2 linked regions of the Diceros bicornis minor genome follow. Each later gene encodes a partner of the first gene's protein in a complex. Links are inferred from orthologs where the notes say so. Each region holds a gene or a part of one and is shown in the gene's direction. Other genes may lie near its edges.

Region 1 (7,365 bases):
AATGCCCCTGGGGTCCTTAAGAAAGCTGCAATTATCTCTGCCATGGGTTGTTTCGTGTCGGATTCCCCCTGCCCCTAACACACACCTCCCGGACCTGAGCTGCGAGAGGGCAGGGCCAGGCGGGTCTGAGTCCCTGCAGGGTCCCGGCCGTTCGCGCGCGAAGACCGTGTTTGTTGAGCGAACGGGTGAACTTAGCGGGCCGGGCGGGGCGGGACGTCCCGGAGTGGATCGCGGGCCGGGCCGAGGCGAGGGATCCGCCCCGGAAGGCGGGGGCGGGGGCGGGGCCGCCGCTGTCTGCGAGGGCCGGCAGGCGGCGGGCACAGTCGGCAGCGGCCGCCGGACGCGCACCATGGCTCCTGGCCCGCTGCGCCCGCGGCTGCGGCTCCTCGTGCTGGGACTCGGGCTGGCGCTGCTGCGCGCCGCCGCCGGGGAGCCGGTGCCAGGTACGCCTGGCGGGGGCGGGGGCCGGGCGGGAGGGCGTGGGGGCCGGAACCCCCAGCTCGGGATAGGGAGGTCGCCATTGGGGGCCTAGAGGAGGGGGCAGCACTGGGGTGACTGGGCGGACGTGGGGATCGAGGGTCAGGTGGTCTCCAGACATTGCGCTCCCTCGCCAGGGGAAGTCCCATCCCGCTTCGAGCTTCATCCACGATTCAGGCCTGTTTTCCCGCCTCTCTAACTCGGGGGGCTTCTGTCCTGAAAGTCCGGACTCGGAAGTGGAGAAAAAGTTTAGGGCGGGATGTTTCCTCCGGTGAGGGGGCACGCCCCCAGCCAGGTCAACACCGGGTCTACCCAGCTCCAGTGACCTAAGAGTCGGGAGGGGTGTCGAGAGCCTCGGGGGTCTGTGCCCCCTATACCATGTGGGGTGCCCCCTTCCATCCGGTGACTTCAGTGCCCAGCTATGCGGGGGGAGGGGACCGGGGTCGGGCCCGGTGCCCGGGAGTGAGTCACCCGCCGGCGGCAGGGGGGGTTGTGGGGACCTGATCCCCCTCCACCCCCCCGCGTCCCGCGCTACGCCCCCTCCCTCCGCGCCGCCGTGTCCCGGTCGAGGCGTGCGGTCACCTGTGAGGAATGCGGGGGGAGGGCGCCGGTGACTCACGTTATTCGAGCCGGCCGACCCTGACCTCAGCCCCCAGAATAGCCGCGCCCCGCCCCCAGCCTCTGACCCGCGGCCCCCTCCCCAGGCACCACCCCCTGCTCTCGCGGCAGCTCCTGGAGCGCGGACCTCGACAAGTGCATGGACTGCGCGTCTTGCCCGGCGCGACCGCACAGCGACTTCTGCCTGGGCTGTGAGTGGGGGGCGGGGCCAGAGGCGAGCGGACCCCTGACTGGGGGTGGGGGTGCTGGGGTGGAGAGGGAAGCAGTGAGCTTCAGATCTGGGAAATTAATGGCGGGGGCGAGGACGCGGGAGGCGGGAGTAGGGAAGGGATTCGGATCAGGGTGGGGGCCACGGTGGGGGAAAGGCTTCAGGCTCAGGTCTAGGGGGCGGGGCTGGGCCGGAGAGGGGTAAGGTCTGACTTCGAGTCCCGCCCCCAGGCGCTGCGGCCCCTCCGGCCTCCTTCCGGCTGCTGTGGCCCATCTTGGGGGGCGCTCTGAGCCTGGCCCTCGTGCTGGGCCTGCTTTCCGGCTTCTTGGTCTGGAGACGGTGCCGCAGGAGAGAGAAGTTTACCAGTGAGTGTGCCCAGCCCGCCCGCCGCCTCCATAACTCCCCAACCTCTCCTCTGCTCTTGACCACCCTTCTGCTTGTCTTGCAGCCCCCATCGAGGAGACCGGCGGGGAGGGCTGTCCTGGCGTGGCGCTGATCCAGTGACAGTGAGCGCCCCTTGCCAGCAGGAGGCCCCACCTACTCATCATTCATTCATTCATTCATTCATTCTGGAGCCAGCCCCTACCTCCCAGACACACAGCCAGAGCCAGCCAGGCTGTTCCAACCACAGGGGTGTGGAAGGATGGGGTTCGGGTGAATCACTGCTCTGAGGTCTGGGCCCAGGCTTCCGAGGAGACTTCCAAGGTGTCTGACTGCCCTGTCTCTGGCTCCAGAACAGAAAAGGAGACCCACGCTGGCTCACACCAGACAGCTGACACTAAGGAACTGCAGCATTTGCACAAGGGGGTCCCTCTCCCCGCCATGGCCTGGGGGCCAGGCTGACCTGAGGGACAGACACAACACCAGGCCCCACCCACTCAGATGTACTGAAATTCCACCACGGGGTCTCACCCTGGGGGGTTAGGGACCTGTTCCTAACACTAGGGGGCTGGCCCTCTAGGGGGGGCTGGCCCTAAGACACTGCCCCCAAATCCCCAAAGGGGGGGGGATATTTATTTTGGGGAGAAAGTTTGGAGGGGAGGGAGAATTTATTAATAAAAGAATCTTTAACTTTAAATGGTTCGGAGAGTGTCCTGATCCCCAGCCCGACTTCCCAGAGCTGGCGGGAGCAGTGAGTCAGCCGCGGGGGCGGGGGTGAGGCTCTGACTCACACATTCTCAATGCCTGAGCCCAGCCTGCCAGGACCTGGCCCGGGCCCTGACCGTTTTCCAGGGAAGATCTTGAGGAGAAATCCCAGCATCCAGCGCCCCAGCCCTCCCCCTCTTCCCAAAGGCCCCAGGTTCCAGACTGAAACCTTTATTTGCTCAGCAATCTTTATTCAGTTCTCCTGTGGGTGGGGTGGGGGGGGGGGAATGCCTCCCTTCCCAGGTTCCTGCCCCTCCCACCCCAGGCTCTGTGGGCACAGTGTCCTCCTCTGTTAGGGGAAGGTCATGGAGGAAAAGCAGGGCAGCTGGTCCCTTCGTGGGGGTGCTGGTCTCCCTGTCGTGGGGAAGAAGGAAGGTGGGCAGGGGCAGTGCCCACCAGCACTCAGAGCTCCATTATGTCCCCAGCTGGGGTTGCAGGGTAGTGGGAGGTGGGGGTGTCCCCCAGCCTCAGCAGCCGGAGGGCCTCAGGGATCAGGTTCCCAGGGTAGCGCCAGAGAAGCAGCTCAGAGCAAGGGCTCCTGGAAGAGGAATGGACAGTCAGGGCACAGGGCTGAGGCTGGCCTGGCAGAGCCATCCCCCACCAGGGGCTCCTGCTGTAGGCACCTTCCAAGAAGCCAAGATGGGAAACAGAAGTTGGCTAGAAGCTAAAAATAGCAGGATGAGGCAGGGCCTGGAGGTTAGCTCCCAGGAGCGGGTATGATCCTCCAGAAGACCCAGCCCCTGGATGGTGGATAGTGCCTACCTGAGTGGGGGCAGAGCTGGGAGGAAAGCCATGGGGGGGCTGCAATAAGGGTGGTCATTGTGCAGGCTGAGTCGAGAGAAGTGGGTGGCCATGTTCTCCTCGGACAGGAACTGCTTGCGCAGGGGTTCCCTAGAGAGAGACAGGGAGGCAAGCAGGGTGGGATATTCAGAGGGGAGGCAGTCTGATGGGGACCTGAGGTCTTGTTGGGAGTCCCTCCCTGCCCCCAAACTCACTGCTCCTCCTCCAGGCGCCGCTTGGTGCTCATGGGCACGGCTCCTCGGAGAGGGGAGCTGGGAAGAAAAGAGAACCAGGTGCACCCCACCCTCTTGGCCCCATCCCGAGGATCTGCCTGCCTGAGCCTGCAGGGTCAGCCAGGAGCCTCCAGCACATCCCTGTCTTAGCTGACACCTAAGTCACCCCTCTCTCCCTGGCCATCCAGCAGCCTGCCGCGGAAGTCTCAGTCTCGAGCCTCCAACCCTGTCTTAGCTCATGTACAAGCCCTGCCGACTCGCCCCATCGCGTGTCACCCTGCAGACCTCCCCTGAGCCCCCAGCCAAAGCTCTTGCACTCCTGGGCCAGGCCCAGCCAGGGCCCCTCCACACACACCTCGTGTCCACGCCTCGGGGCGACCCCGAGGCAGCCCGCGGATCGCGCTGGGCCCGACCCAGGGGGCCTCGCTCCAGGGGCTGCTGCAGGATCATTGGGGTTCGGGGTCCCGAGGGCAGGGGTGGGATCCAGGCGACAGGGGCGGAGCCTCTAAGGGCGTGGCCCAACGCGAGGGGCGCGGCCGTAGGCGCGCGCAGCGGGGAGGTTCCGCGCAGGCGCGAAAGACGGGCGGCGCGTGGCTGGAAGGCGGATCTGCTCGGCAGGGTGGGGGAGGGGATCCGGCTCAGGGGGGGCTGCGGTGGGCGCTACTTAGTGTCGAGGATCTTCGCGGCGGTCACCTCAGTTCCTGGGGCTCGGGTTAGTACGCGGCGGCCGCCTTCGCGCCGGGCCTGCCAGCGGTCTTGGAGAGGTGGGGTGCCGCGAAGCGGAGCGGATCGCGGGCACGTCCGGACTCGTGAGGTTGCGTCGCGCGCGGAGCACTCTGGGACTTGTAGTTCTCGTGATGGAGCGAGCTGTGCCGCAGGCGGTGCCTCTCGGTCAGGTGAGGCGGGCGTGGTTGCGCAGTGTCTTCTGGGCTTTGTAGTCCATGCCCGGCTCGGAAGGGGGGGGCGAGGAGTCGTGCCCTGAGTCCTGTTTTGGGTGGGCTCTGGGCTGGGACTCGGACTCTGACGCGGGGGTGGGAGAATCACCCAGACATCCTTAAAAGGACTAACATGAAAGTCGGAGGATAGGGATTGTAAGCATGTTTTTCTGTATTGGGGTAATAGAGCCACTTTTTAAGCGCTTTCTACGAGCCACCCCTGTGTGAAACTCTGTGTACAGTACCTCATCCAATCTGACAGAATGTCCTGTGAGGTCCATTTGACAGTTGAGGAAATTTGGACGAGAGGCTGGGTGCTTGCTCAAGGTCCTATAGGCATCACGCCTCAACTCTACTCGCCTCGCCCTCTTCTTGGAGCCACCCCTGGGACTGTGAGGGCAGGTGCCCACTTGGTGGGCCGCCTCAACGGAGGGCTGAGAAGTCTGTGCAGTGGGAAGCTGGACTGGCGGCAGGGGAAGCAGGAAGGAGTCTGTGGATTGGAGGTCCCAGATGGTCTTCATCCAGCCTCTCCCTACAGGTGGAAGTGTTTCAGGCCCTGCAGCGGCTGCACATGACCATTTTCTCCCAGAGTGTGTCACCCTGCGGGAAGTTCCTTGCCGCCGGCAATAATTACGGGCAGATAGCCATCTTCAGGTACCCTTGGCCCTGCTCCCCACCACCCATTAGCTCTGGCACCTGGCCCTCCTGTACTGATGCCCCCTGCTTCTGACCCTCTCCGCTCTCCCTTCAGCTTGTCTGCTGCTTTGAGCTCCGAGGCCAAAGAGGAAAGTAAGAAGCCCGTGGTGACCTTCCAAGGTGGGTGCAGCCATTGAGTCTGGCTTCGGGGACCCCAGCGTGGAGGAGGGGAGCAGGACAGGGTCACTCAGGGTCTGCGTTTCCATTTAGCCCATGATGGGCCCGTCTACAGCATGGTCTCCACTGATCGGCAGCTGCTCAGCGCTGGGGATGGGGAGGTGAAGTCCTGGCTTTGGGTGGAGATCCTCAAGAAGGTAAGGAGCGTGGGGCTGGGGGAAGTGCTGGGGCGCCCAGCCCCAGAGAGAGAGAACCTTTGAAGTCACCCAGTGTTTCCTCCACCAAGGGCTGTAAGGAGCTGTGGCGTCGTCAGCCCCCATACAGGTGAGCCAGGGCCATGTGGGCAGGGGCATGTGGGGGTGAAGGTACCCTTCAGCAGAGCTGACGCCACTTTCCCTCCCCCAGGACCAGCCTGGAAGTGCCTGAGATCAATGCTTTGCTTCTTGTCCCCAAGGTTTGAGCCCTTTGTGACTGGGGCTCTGCCCTGCCCTCTTCTTGGCCCAATCTTTGATCCTTCCCCTCTCCCTGTCCTGATTTGACATTGACTTCCGACCCCACCTCGCCTTCCTCTGCAGGAGAATTCCCTCATCCTGGCGGGGGGAGACTGTCAATTGCATACGATGGACCTTGAGACGGGGGCCTTCACGGTGAGATGGCCACGGAGCTGGGGTGGTCAGGGCAGCACCGGGCCTTCTTCCCAGATCTTGTCCCGACACTGGCCCTCTCCCTGTAGCGGGCCCTCCGGGGCCACACGGACTACATCCACTGCCTGGCACTGCGGGAGCGGAGCCCCGAGGTGCTGTCAGGGGGCGAGGATGGAGCTGTGCGACTTTGGGGTAAGGGAACGTCTGGTTGGAGGGAAAGACGGTGGTGAGGGAGACTGGGGCAAGTAGGATGCCTCTCATGGTTCTTCCCTCACAGACCTTCGCACGGCCAAGGAGGTCCAGACGATCGAGGTCTATAAGCACGAGGTGAGGGCACACTGCACGCGTCCTCCCTTCCTTCTCCCTGGGCATCCCCTGCGTCTTCACCTCCTCCTTTCTTCCCCTGCTCCCTCCCAGGAGTGCTCGAGGCCCCACAATGGGCGCTGGATCGGATGTTTGGCAACTGACTCAGACTGGATGGTGAGCCGGGCAGAGGGCAGGATGGGGAGGCAGCTCTGGGCCCTGCCAGCTGAGGGCCTGTGGCTCACAGTGGCTGGGGACCCCCACCTTTCTGTCCAGGTCTGTGGAGGGGGCCCAGCACTTACTCTGTGGCACCTCCGATCCTCCACACCCACCACCATCTTCCCTATGCGGGCTCCACAGAAGCACGTCACCTTCTACCAGGACCTGGTGAGGCCCTCTGTCTTGCTTATGCCACCCCTGTCTGGCTCTCCTCTCCAGCCCTGAACGCTGATCCCCCTCCCTGCCCCCCACAGATTCTGTCAGCTGGCCAGGGCCGCTGCGTCAACCAGTGGCAACTGAGCGGGGAGCTCAAGGCCCAGGTGCCTGGCTCCTCCCCAGGGCTACTCAGCCTCAGCCTCAACCAGCAGCCAGCAGCCCCTGAGTGCAAGGTGGGTCCGGCAAGGGGCTATGGGGAGCCTGGGAGGCCAGGGCAGTGTGGGCAGGTCAGTCAGCCCCACCTTGCCTCCAGGTCCTGACAGCTGCGGGCAACAGCTGCCGGGTGGATGTCTTCACCAATCTGGGCTACCGCGCCTTCTCCCTGTCCTTCTGATCTCCCTCGGCAGTCTCCCATTCCAGGGATTTGCAGTGTTTTTATTTCTTTTTTTACAAATAAAATTTCAGGCTTTTGTTCCATGTGCTTTCTTCCCAAGAATGGAGGCCAGGTCGGTGTAATGATTTATATATTACTCTGTCTGATCTTGATACATAAATACCCACCCCCATCCCTGTCGTAGAGCATGCCAGGGGGCCTAGTGCTTAGAAAAGATAGACCTATGTAGATTAGAAAAATAGACAGCTCTGCCCCACCTGCTCCCGCCACCACCTGGGGCGCCTGGTCCCCAAAGCTGGCCCCTGCTCCCAGTGAGCCCCTGCCCAGCCTCCTGGGGCGGGGAGGGCACCAGCCCCCTTTGGAAGACAGTCGGGGCCCTGTCGCTCCACTGGCTGGAAGAGGAAAGTGAGCCTGAGAGGGCATGGGCGGCCCCTTCGGC
Region 2 (7,278 bases), on another chromosome or scaffold:
AGGTAGGTGGTATTTCTTTCAATAATCTATCTACTATTCTAGTTCTGAATATGGTTTCAGATAACATGCTGTTTAGGACACCTAGATGTCTCACCCTTTAAGAAGTTTGGCAACTAACCCAGTAGATCTTTAACTTAGGTATAAATAGATAACATAGGAAACCATATGACTCTTAATATCTCGTCTCATTATTCTTTCTGTTTTCCTCTCAGAGCCACCCCAGATGCCCCTCCTGCTGACCTTCAGGATTTCTTGAGCCGGATCTTTCAAGTACCCCCAGGCCAGATGTCTAACGGAAACTTCTTTGCAGCTCCTCAGCCTGGCCCTGGGGCCACTGCAGCCTCCAAGCCCAACAGCACAGTACCCAAGGGAGAAGCCAAACCGAAGCGGCGGAAGAAAGTGAGGAGGCCCTTCCAACGTTGACACCCCGTCTCTTCTTTCCTCAGATCAATGTCAGGGAGTCAAAAGGGCTGTGTACAGCACAGGATGGAGTTTGATTTGTTTATTTTTAAATATTTAAAAAAGGGAAAATTTTAAGCTCAAATTGTTCACTCAGTACTTGTAGGAAGCCCTGGAACCACTCTCCCTCCTCCACCAGCACCCAGGAACTGAATCTTGTCTTCTGACAATACCAAAGAAATAGGGGGTGTCTAGAGCAAAGAATCGAGGGCCTGGGCCTGGGCTGGACAGTATTCCCCATAGTGGTGTGGGAACCGGGTATTTCCCTAGGGTCTGTATGCCTTTGTCTTGTCTTTTGCTTCCAGAGCAGATGACTTTTTCTCCTCTTTTTAAACTATCTTAGTTCTTGACCCATTTCAGAAGGGAGCCCCCTCCTTTACTCCAGTATACTAGATAAAAGACAGAACAAGAAAGCATGTAGCCCTAATTATAGGAGATATTTAGAGTTCAGAGAGTGGGAACTCTGAATTTTTCCTCTGACTTTCACCATTGTGGGTCATCACCCAACTTCATGCTTGTTGCTGCAGGGATGGCCAAAACTAGTAATTTTTAAAAAGCGACTCATGCCCTTTGCCCTTGGGTGAGGGGGAAGGATAAAGGGGCTCCCAGCGGCACCCTTATGATCCAAGGGTTTGTATTTTTTTAAGTTTGTTCATATTTGTATGTACATATCTATTTAAAGCCAGGGGATTATCTTTCTATAAATATATAACTGGCAACCTGTATCTTCCCTCTCTTCTTTGCCCATATAGCTGGAGCCCTTTTTCTCATTTGAGAATCCTTTCTCTACTAAGTGTTAGCTGCGCGTGAAGGGCACCTCCTACTGGACCAAGGGAGAGGGGATAAAAAAATACCTTAAAGAAGTTTTGTACAGTAAATCACTGTTCCATCTTTCTTCCCCAGCCTCATGAGGACATCTTCCTACCCTTCCTGCTGACCAAACTGTAGCCATATCTGAAAAAAAATGATCTTTATTATAAGGAACATACATAGCAGAACAGAGCTAGAAGGTAGTGGGGGTGGAAGCTATGGAAAAACTTAATTACCAAACAAAGCTGCCCAAACATGGCTTCCTGCTGTGGATGAGAATGATTTGGTCCTTACCTCACCTGCCTTTCCTGATTCAAAGAAACCTGTTCCTACCAGGGCTTGGCCCAGGGAGCTGCATTTTCCAATCTATTCTCTTCTTGGGAGTTTGGGAAAGGTTGTATAGTTCTGAGGCTTTCAAGACATAGAAGACAGTATGGAGAAGGGAAGGATGTCGCAGTCCTTTGTTCCAACGTCGTCCCCAGCCCCATCCCTCAGTATTTGTTGATGCCAAAGAGACGAACCCCATGGAACTGGGGCAACTTAGGCAGCAGTACGCTGAGCAATGAGGCTGTGTTGATGAGGAAGTGAACAGCATCATGCGTGGTGTAGAAGCTGGCCAGGAGGTAGCTGGGGAGAGAAGAAATAGGTTGAGTGAAGTTGGCCTCCCCTATCCATATTCATGCCTTTCCAGTGACTTTCTCTTCTATTTTAAATGAAATAGTCCTAGGATGTCTGAAATAGTCCAGCTCTAGTAACAGTATTTACTTTGGGGTTGGGGAGATAATCAAATAGCACCTTTAACTGGAGATTTATAAGTTAGTTTGTGTGTGTTTTAATTGTTAATGACATGTGGCAAATGACAGCTGAAGCAGTTTTAGCCTATATGACTGTTAGAGTCCTCTTTGCTTCCACTCCCCACTGTTAGTTTTTACAGATTTACATCAGTTCTACCTTTATTTATTCACTTCTTTTGGAAGTGTAAAATTATTTGGTTTTACTTGGTATTTTATCTTTTCTCAGTCCCCTACCACTAAGGAGGCAGCAAGGGATGCTTGAGTACTGTATTCTACTTTTTACTACTCTCTCTAGATTTAGACCTAGTATACCATAATATCTTCAAAGGGTCTGAATGAGTAGTCTGCTTTTCTAAAGCTTCCCTGTGGGCCTTTGTACCTGGCTCTTGGAGCATCTCCCATATCTCCCCCTGGACTCACAGTACAATAGGAGAGATGCTGAGGAATTTGCGGGAAGAGGTAAATTGGAGCCCGTAGTCCATCTGTTCCCAGTATGTCAGTAGCCGAGCCTTTCCTTGGTCAGGAGTTTCAAAGGGTGTCCCTTTCACAGTATGTAGGAAGATATACATAGCCTGGGAGGAGGGAAGGGGGCAGTGTGAGGGGGCAGAAAGTAGTCCTTCAGCCAAAGAATTATGCTAAGATCCCAAAAGGAAGACATAAATCCCCAAATAATTGATGATTTTATTGTTTTTGGTTTGGAAAGGCCTGGGGTGGGTAAAAGGGCATGGTTTAGTGCTCACCAAGTTATGGATGACGTTGGTCAGGGTCCAGACAACAGGAATGCTGAAGAAAGGGATGCTGAGTAGAACCACATGCAGCAGTCCTACCAAGATGATGTAGGCCAGCCAGATGCCCCGGCTATTCATCACTCGAGTGTTGGGGTTTACTTCGCTGTGTGCCACCCCCACATTCATCCTACCACAGTAGGGGATCAGACAGGAGTCCAACTCAATTTCCTCTCAACCCCTCTTTGAGTTTGTTCCCGAAGTTGTCTTCTGAATAGCCAAAATCCCTTGAACTCTATTAGAATGAAAGAACTTCCCCATCATGCACAAAGGAAAAACTGAAGACTTGGGGGAAAAAACTTAAAAGGCACGAAGAGTCCTCTCTGCATTTTAGAGACATATAATGGTAATTTTTACTCTGATCCTTACACTTCAACTGTAACTTGAAGGAGTAAGCCTAAGCTTGGGGCACCTGCTTCAAGGAGCAAGGGAAACATTAGTATCTCACTTTACTTTCCTGAAGACGTTAATAAGAAATCATGAGAGGTTACATACACCCAGAATTCCAGAAGAGGGTCATGGGAAACAATGAATCATTACGGAGGAGAAAGAAGGGTAAAGCTACTTCTAATCCCCACCTTTTCCTCAGGGGCTTGCCGGTTCTGTCAACCTCTTGGCACGTAAGCAGCCAGCACCCCAATTCCTTCTCTCAAGCCTGGGGCGCTGCCAGACTTTGACCAAGGCTTTTGGATAGGATGAGACCTAAGCTCAGCGTCTCGAGAGATGGAGCCCTAGCCCCGACTTCAGGGGCGGCTCTGGTCGTCTGAACTTGGCCCGTTGATGATGCCTAGTAAGAAGCAGCTCTTATCCGCCCCTCTCTACCTGAAATTCCCTGAATCCTAGTATTGAACCCGCCCTGTGCTCCTCCCAGCTTCCCTCTCTCGTTCGTTGGCTCCCCTCCGGGCTCTCTTCAGCGCTCTTCTCTCGGTATTTAACTCGCCGCCGCTCCACTCACCGCCCCCTCCCCTTTTGCCTCCCACCGTTTTTCTCGGCACCCCGTTCCAGTCTCCCGGCAGCCCCTACCTGCCTGCTTCAGAAGCCCGTCCAGCCTGGGGCGCAGGGCTCGCTTCCACACCTGCGATCTCCAGGAAGCAGCCGCCCTCGCCCATCTGCACTCTCCCGATTGGTGGAGCAGAATCAGCGCTGCTGCCACCCATTGGCTGGCGGTCTGCATTGGAGACGCACAATTGGTCGCCACTTAAGTCGTTCAGAAAGTGCAGAAGCCGCCCTCCACCCTGTCCCACCTTCAGAGACAGGAGGGGAGAGCTGCTTAGAGGAGTGAGAGCGACGCCAGCTGTTGACTAACGGGGAGAGTTGATGGTCCGAGGTGGGAGTAAGAGTGGCAGCGATTGGTCGGCCGTGGCTGGCTGCGCCCAGGCGGGAGCTCCGGGAGGCGGAGGCAGCGGGTGGGGGCCTGGCGGAGTGGAGGGGTAACAAGATGGCGACGGAGACGGTGGAGCTGCACAAGCTAAAGGTAGCGGGAACGGGGAAGGGCTGAGCTGGGCTCTCTGGGGACTGAATTCTGCTGGTGGCTTGCGCCTTTTCCTACATGTTCTCTTTACCGGCTTTTCCACTTCGTTTGCCGGCTCCCCTCGTAGTTCTTTTCTTTTGTGCCTCCTATCTTTCCCATACGCCTTGCCTAATTTCCCATTTCTTCTCACGGCTGTCTGGCGTTATTCCGGCTCCCTTCCTCATCGTTGTGTCGTCCGTTTCCTTTCCCCACCGGCTGGTGTAAGCGCCTTCAACCTGTTATCCTTCCTCCTCGTTTCTCCTCGAAGCTGCATTACGTCAGTGGTCCGCTCCTCTTCGCCCCACGCCGGACCTAGCACCCCTTTTTCTTCCCTGGCTTGATGCTCCCCTGTCTGTCGTCCGAAGCTGAGATTCCCGTTAGCAGGTGGTGGCACCTTTGTGTTTTCCGTCTGTCTAGGTCTCAAACGTGATCCAGAAAATGCTTCCACTCCTTTTTTTAGGTGGGGTTACGCCCCCGGGGCGAACTTTGAAACCTGAGGAGAAGCCTCCGAAGATAGGCCTCCGCGTGGAAGCCTGGGTTTCGGAGACCTTAGAGTTAGTGAAGGCACGGATCCCGCAGACCGAAAAGTTTTCGCGTTCTCTCACGCGGTTCTCTTCCCGCCAGCCTCCCCCCGCCCCCGCCCCCGCATCCCCTACCCGAGGGACAACTCGCTCAGAGCTGGGATGTTTTGGAAAAGCACTTCCGAGGTTAGGGTTATCTCTGTCCCGTTTCATATCGGGGATGGACCTTGCCTCTGTTCGTGTCTCCGCTGGGTGCCACTCTCCACCACAGAAGCTGTTTTAAGTTGTGTCTTTTGGGAATCTTGGTAGTTTTCTCACATTTAGTTGATTATTTTCCTGGAAGAAAAGAGTAGTTTCTTTTAGGGTGAATTGAGAATATCTTGATTAGTTGTCCATTTGTGGTTTCACAAGTAGTTTTCCCATCAGGTGTTTTGGTCACATCGTTCTGGGAACCTTGGATAAACCAGGCTGATTTAGCGGAATCCGAAAACTGATCCTTTAAAAAAAAAAAAAGTGTGAGAGTAAGGATAGGGAGAGCTTCTTTTAGTCACTTATTGGTTGACACCAATTAGCCTTTCTGTGAAAGCTAATGGATTTCTTATGCTTGGATTCTAAAGTATACTAGTGGGTTTTTGTGTTATCCTGGAGTTACTGTCAATTTAGCGGTACTGAAATGTGTAGATTATATCGGTAGTGTCGTAATATCACGATAAGTAAAAAAAATTGAGCAGTCACCTCCATTATATGTATAGTACTTACTTATATAAATTATGTACTGCCATACTGTTATGTATGTTATGAAAGATGTACAGAAAAGGAATTTTTGAATGAATGAGATAAAAAGGAAATATGAATAGAAGATCTAATGTTTTCTTCCGATTAGTCCCATTTTTGAAGCTCCTGAAGTTAAGTCATCAGCCTTGTGACTTGCGTTTGTGGATTTTTGTATTGGTTTATGGAGTTCCTTCTTCCATGAAACCTGTGTTTGTCAGGTCTATATTAAATTTGATTTTGGTTGGATAATGTCCTTTGACCTGATTTCAGGTATTATAGACTGAAAGAGCATGAGGCACTCCTGACAGCCTGAAAAGGATTCACTCTTTTAATCACATTTGCTTGTCTTTGCTTTTTCTCTAGAACACTTCTTAACCTTTTGGAGGTCACAGATATCTTTGAAACTCTGATGAAAGGTATGGACCCTCTGCCCAGAAAAAAGCATGTACACATACTTTGCATGCGATTTGAGGGGCTTCATAAAACTACCTTATAGCCCTGAGGAGTCCATGGACCTCCGGTTAAGAACCCATGCCTTTCATTCTAACTTCCAGGACAGTTAATGTTTGGTTCCACTGTTGATCTTGATGGAGTGATCCTGACTTTTGGGTTGACTTAGGGTTTTATCTCTTTTTTAAAAAGTCTTTCCATTTTTACTAGGAGAATTTGGGGCTTTAGTAGGGTTCTCAGAGGAAAGGAACAAGCTTTGAAGTAGGAAGGAAAAATATTTTCTATCTGAATTGATATGTAAGTTCACGTCAACTGCAAATTTCTGATGATTCTGTAGAAATGCAGTCGTTCTAACACAGTTGGAAAGAGACTGAATTGTGGGTGAAAATTCCTTGAACTGCAATAGTACCAGATCTCCAGTCAATGGTGAGCAAAGGGGCTACTGCAGGGGCTGGCCCCATGGTGTAGTGGTTAAGATCACCTGCTTTGGCGGCCTGGGCACGGACCTGCACAACACCACTCATCAAGCCATGCTGTGGCAGCCTCCCATGTACAAAATAGAGGAGGATTGGCACAGATGTTAGCTCAGGGACAATCTTCCTCAAGCAGAAAGAGGAAGATTGGCAATGGATGTTAGCTCAGGGCCAATCTCCCTCACCAAAAAAAAAAAAGAAGAAGAAAAGGACTACTGCAAGGAGAGAACGACAAGGTCAAAGTGTCAGAACTAGTGTCAGAGTGTTTAGAACAATGAGACATTTGTAATATTGAAGCGTAACGCGTATATGTTACTGGTTGAAGATGGAAAGGAAAGTCGGTGAACTGTGTGACTATAAAGGTAGATTGGAGTGATATTGAAAAGGGCCCTTTAAGTTGTGTAAGGTGTTTAGTGTTTGTCATGTAGGCAGAAGATGGGGAGCCTTTGGAAATTTGAAAGGAGGAGCTGATATGATCAGTTTTGTGTTCTTTTGGCAGTACCGAGAATGGGGTCTGGAGAGGGAGAGATTTCACCGGTTAGATTTTTTTTTTTTTTTAATTTTATTTATTTATTTTTTTCCCCCAAAGCCCCCGTAGATAGTTGCATGTCATAGATGCACATCCCTCCTGCTGCTGTATGTGGGACGCGGCCTCAGCATGGCCGGAGAAGCGGTGCGTCTGCGCGCGCCCGGGATCCGAAC

What was found. The genes of interacting proteins can lie anywhere in the genome.
Region 2: THOC6 (region 1) and SARNP share a complex: the UniProt entries of both Homo sapiens proteins name them as parts of the transcription/export (TREX) complex. The link is inferred for Diceros bicornis minor from reciprocal best matches to the Homo sapiens genes THOC6 and SARNP.

The regions. Positions count from the first base shown.
Region 1 is NC_080765.1:45,503,480-45,510,844, reverse strand, and holds THOC6 (THO complex subunit 6 homolog), read left to right. Parts: upstream 1-4,277; 5' UTR 4,278-4,319; coding exon 4,320-4,358; intron 4,359-4,935; coding exon 4,936-5,051; intron 5,052-5,148; coding exon 5,149-5,213; intron 5,214-5,303; coding exon 5,304-5,407; intron 5,408-5,496; coding exon 5,497-5,534; intron 5,535-5,615; coding exon 5,616-5,664; intron 5,665-5,785; coding exon 5,786-5,857; intron 5,858-5,943; coding exon 5,944-6,046; intron 6,047-6,131; coding exon 6,132-6,181; intron 6,182-6,271; coding exon 6,272-6,334; intron 6,335-6,433; coding exon 6,434-6,544; intron 6,545-6,630; coding exon 6,631-6,765; intron 6,766-6,845; coding exon 6,846-6,926; 3' UTR 6,927-7,002; downstream 7,003-7,365. Other genes in the region: TNFRSF12A (tumor necrosis factor receptor superfamily member 12A), read left to right, coding at 350-443, 1,182-1,286, 1,534-1,668, 1,752-1,807; HCFC1R1 (host cell factor C1 regulator 1), read right to left, coding at 2,852-2,987, 3,212-3,340, 3,445-3,501, 3,818-3,912. UniProt on the Homo sapiens protein: Component of the THO subcomplex of the TREX complex which is thought to couple mRNA transcription, processing and nuclear export, and which specifically associates with spliced mRNA and not with unspliced pre-mRNA.
Region 2 is NC_080756.1:12,865,147-12,872,424, forward strand, and holds the start of SARNP (SAP domain-containing ribonucleoprotein), read left to right. Parts: upstream 1-4,195; 5' UTR 4,196-4,286; coding exon 4,287-4,322; intron 4,323-7,278. Other genes in the region: DNAJC14 (dnaJ homolog subfamily C member 14), read left to right, coding at 1-2, 213-423; ORMDL2 (ORM1-like protein 2), read right to left, coding at 1,761-1,896, 2,484-2,635, 2,804-2,978, 3,872-4,005. UniProt on the Homo sapiens protein: Binds both single-stranded and double-stranded DNA with higher affinity for the single-stranded form. Specifically binds to scaffold/matrix attachment region DNA. Also binds single-stranded RNA. Enhances RNA unwinding activity of DDX39A.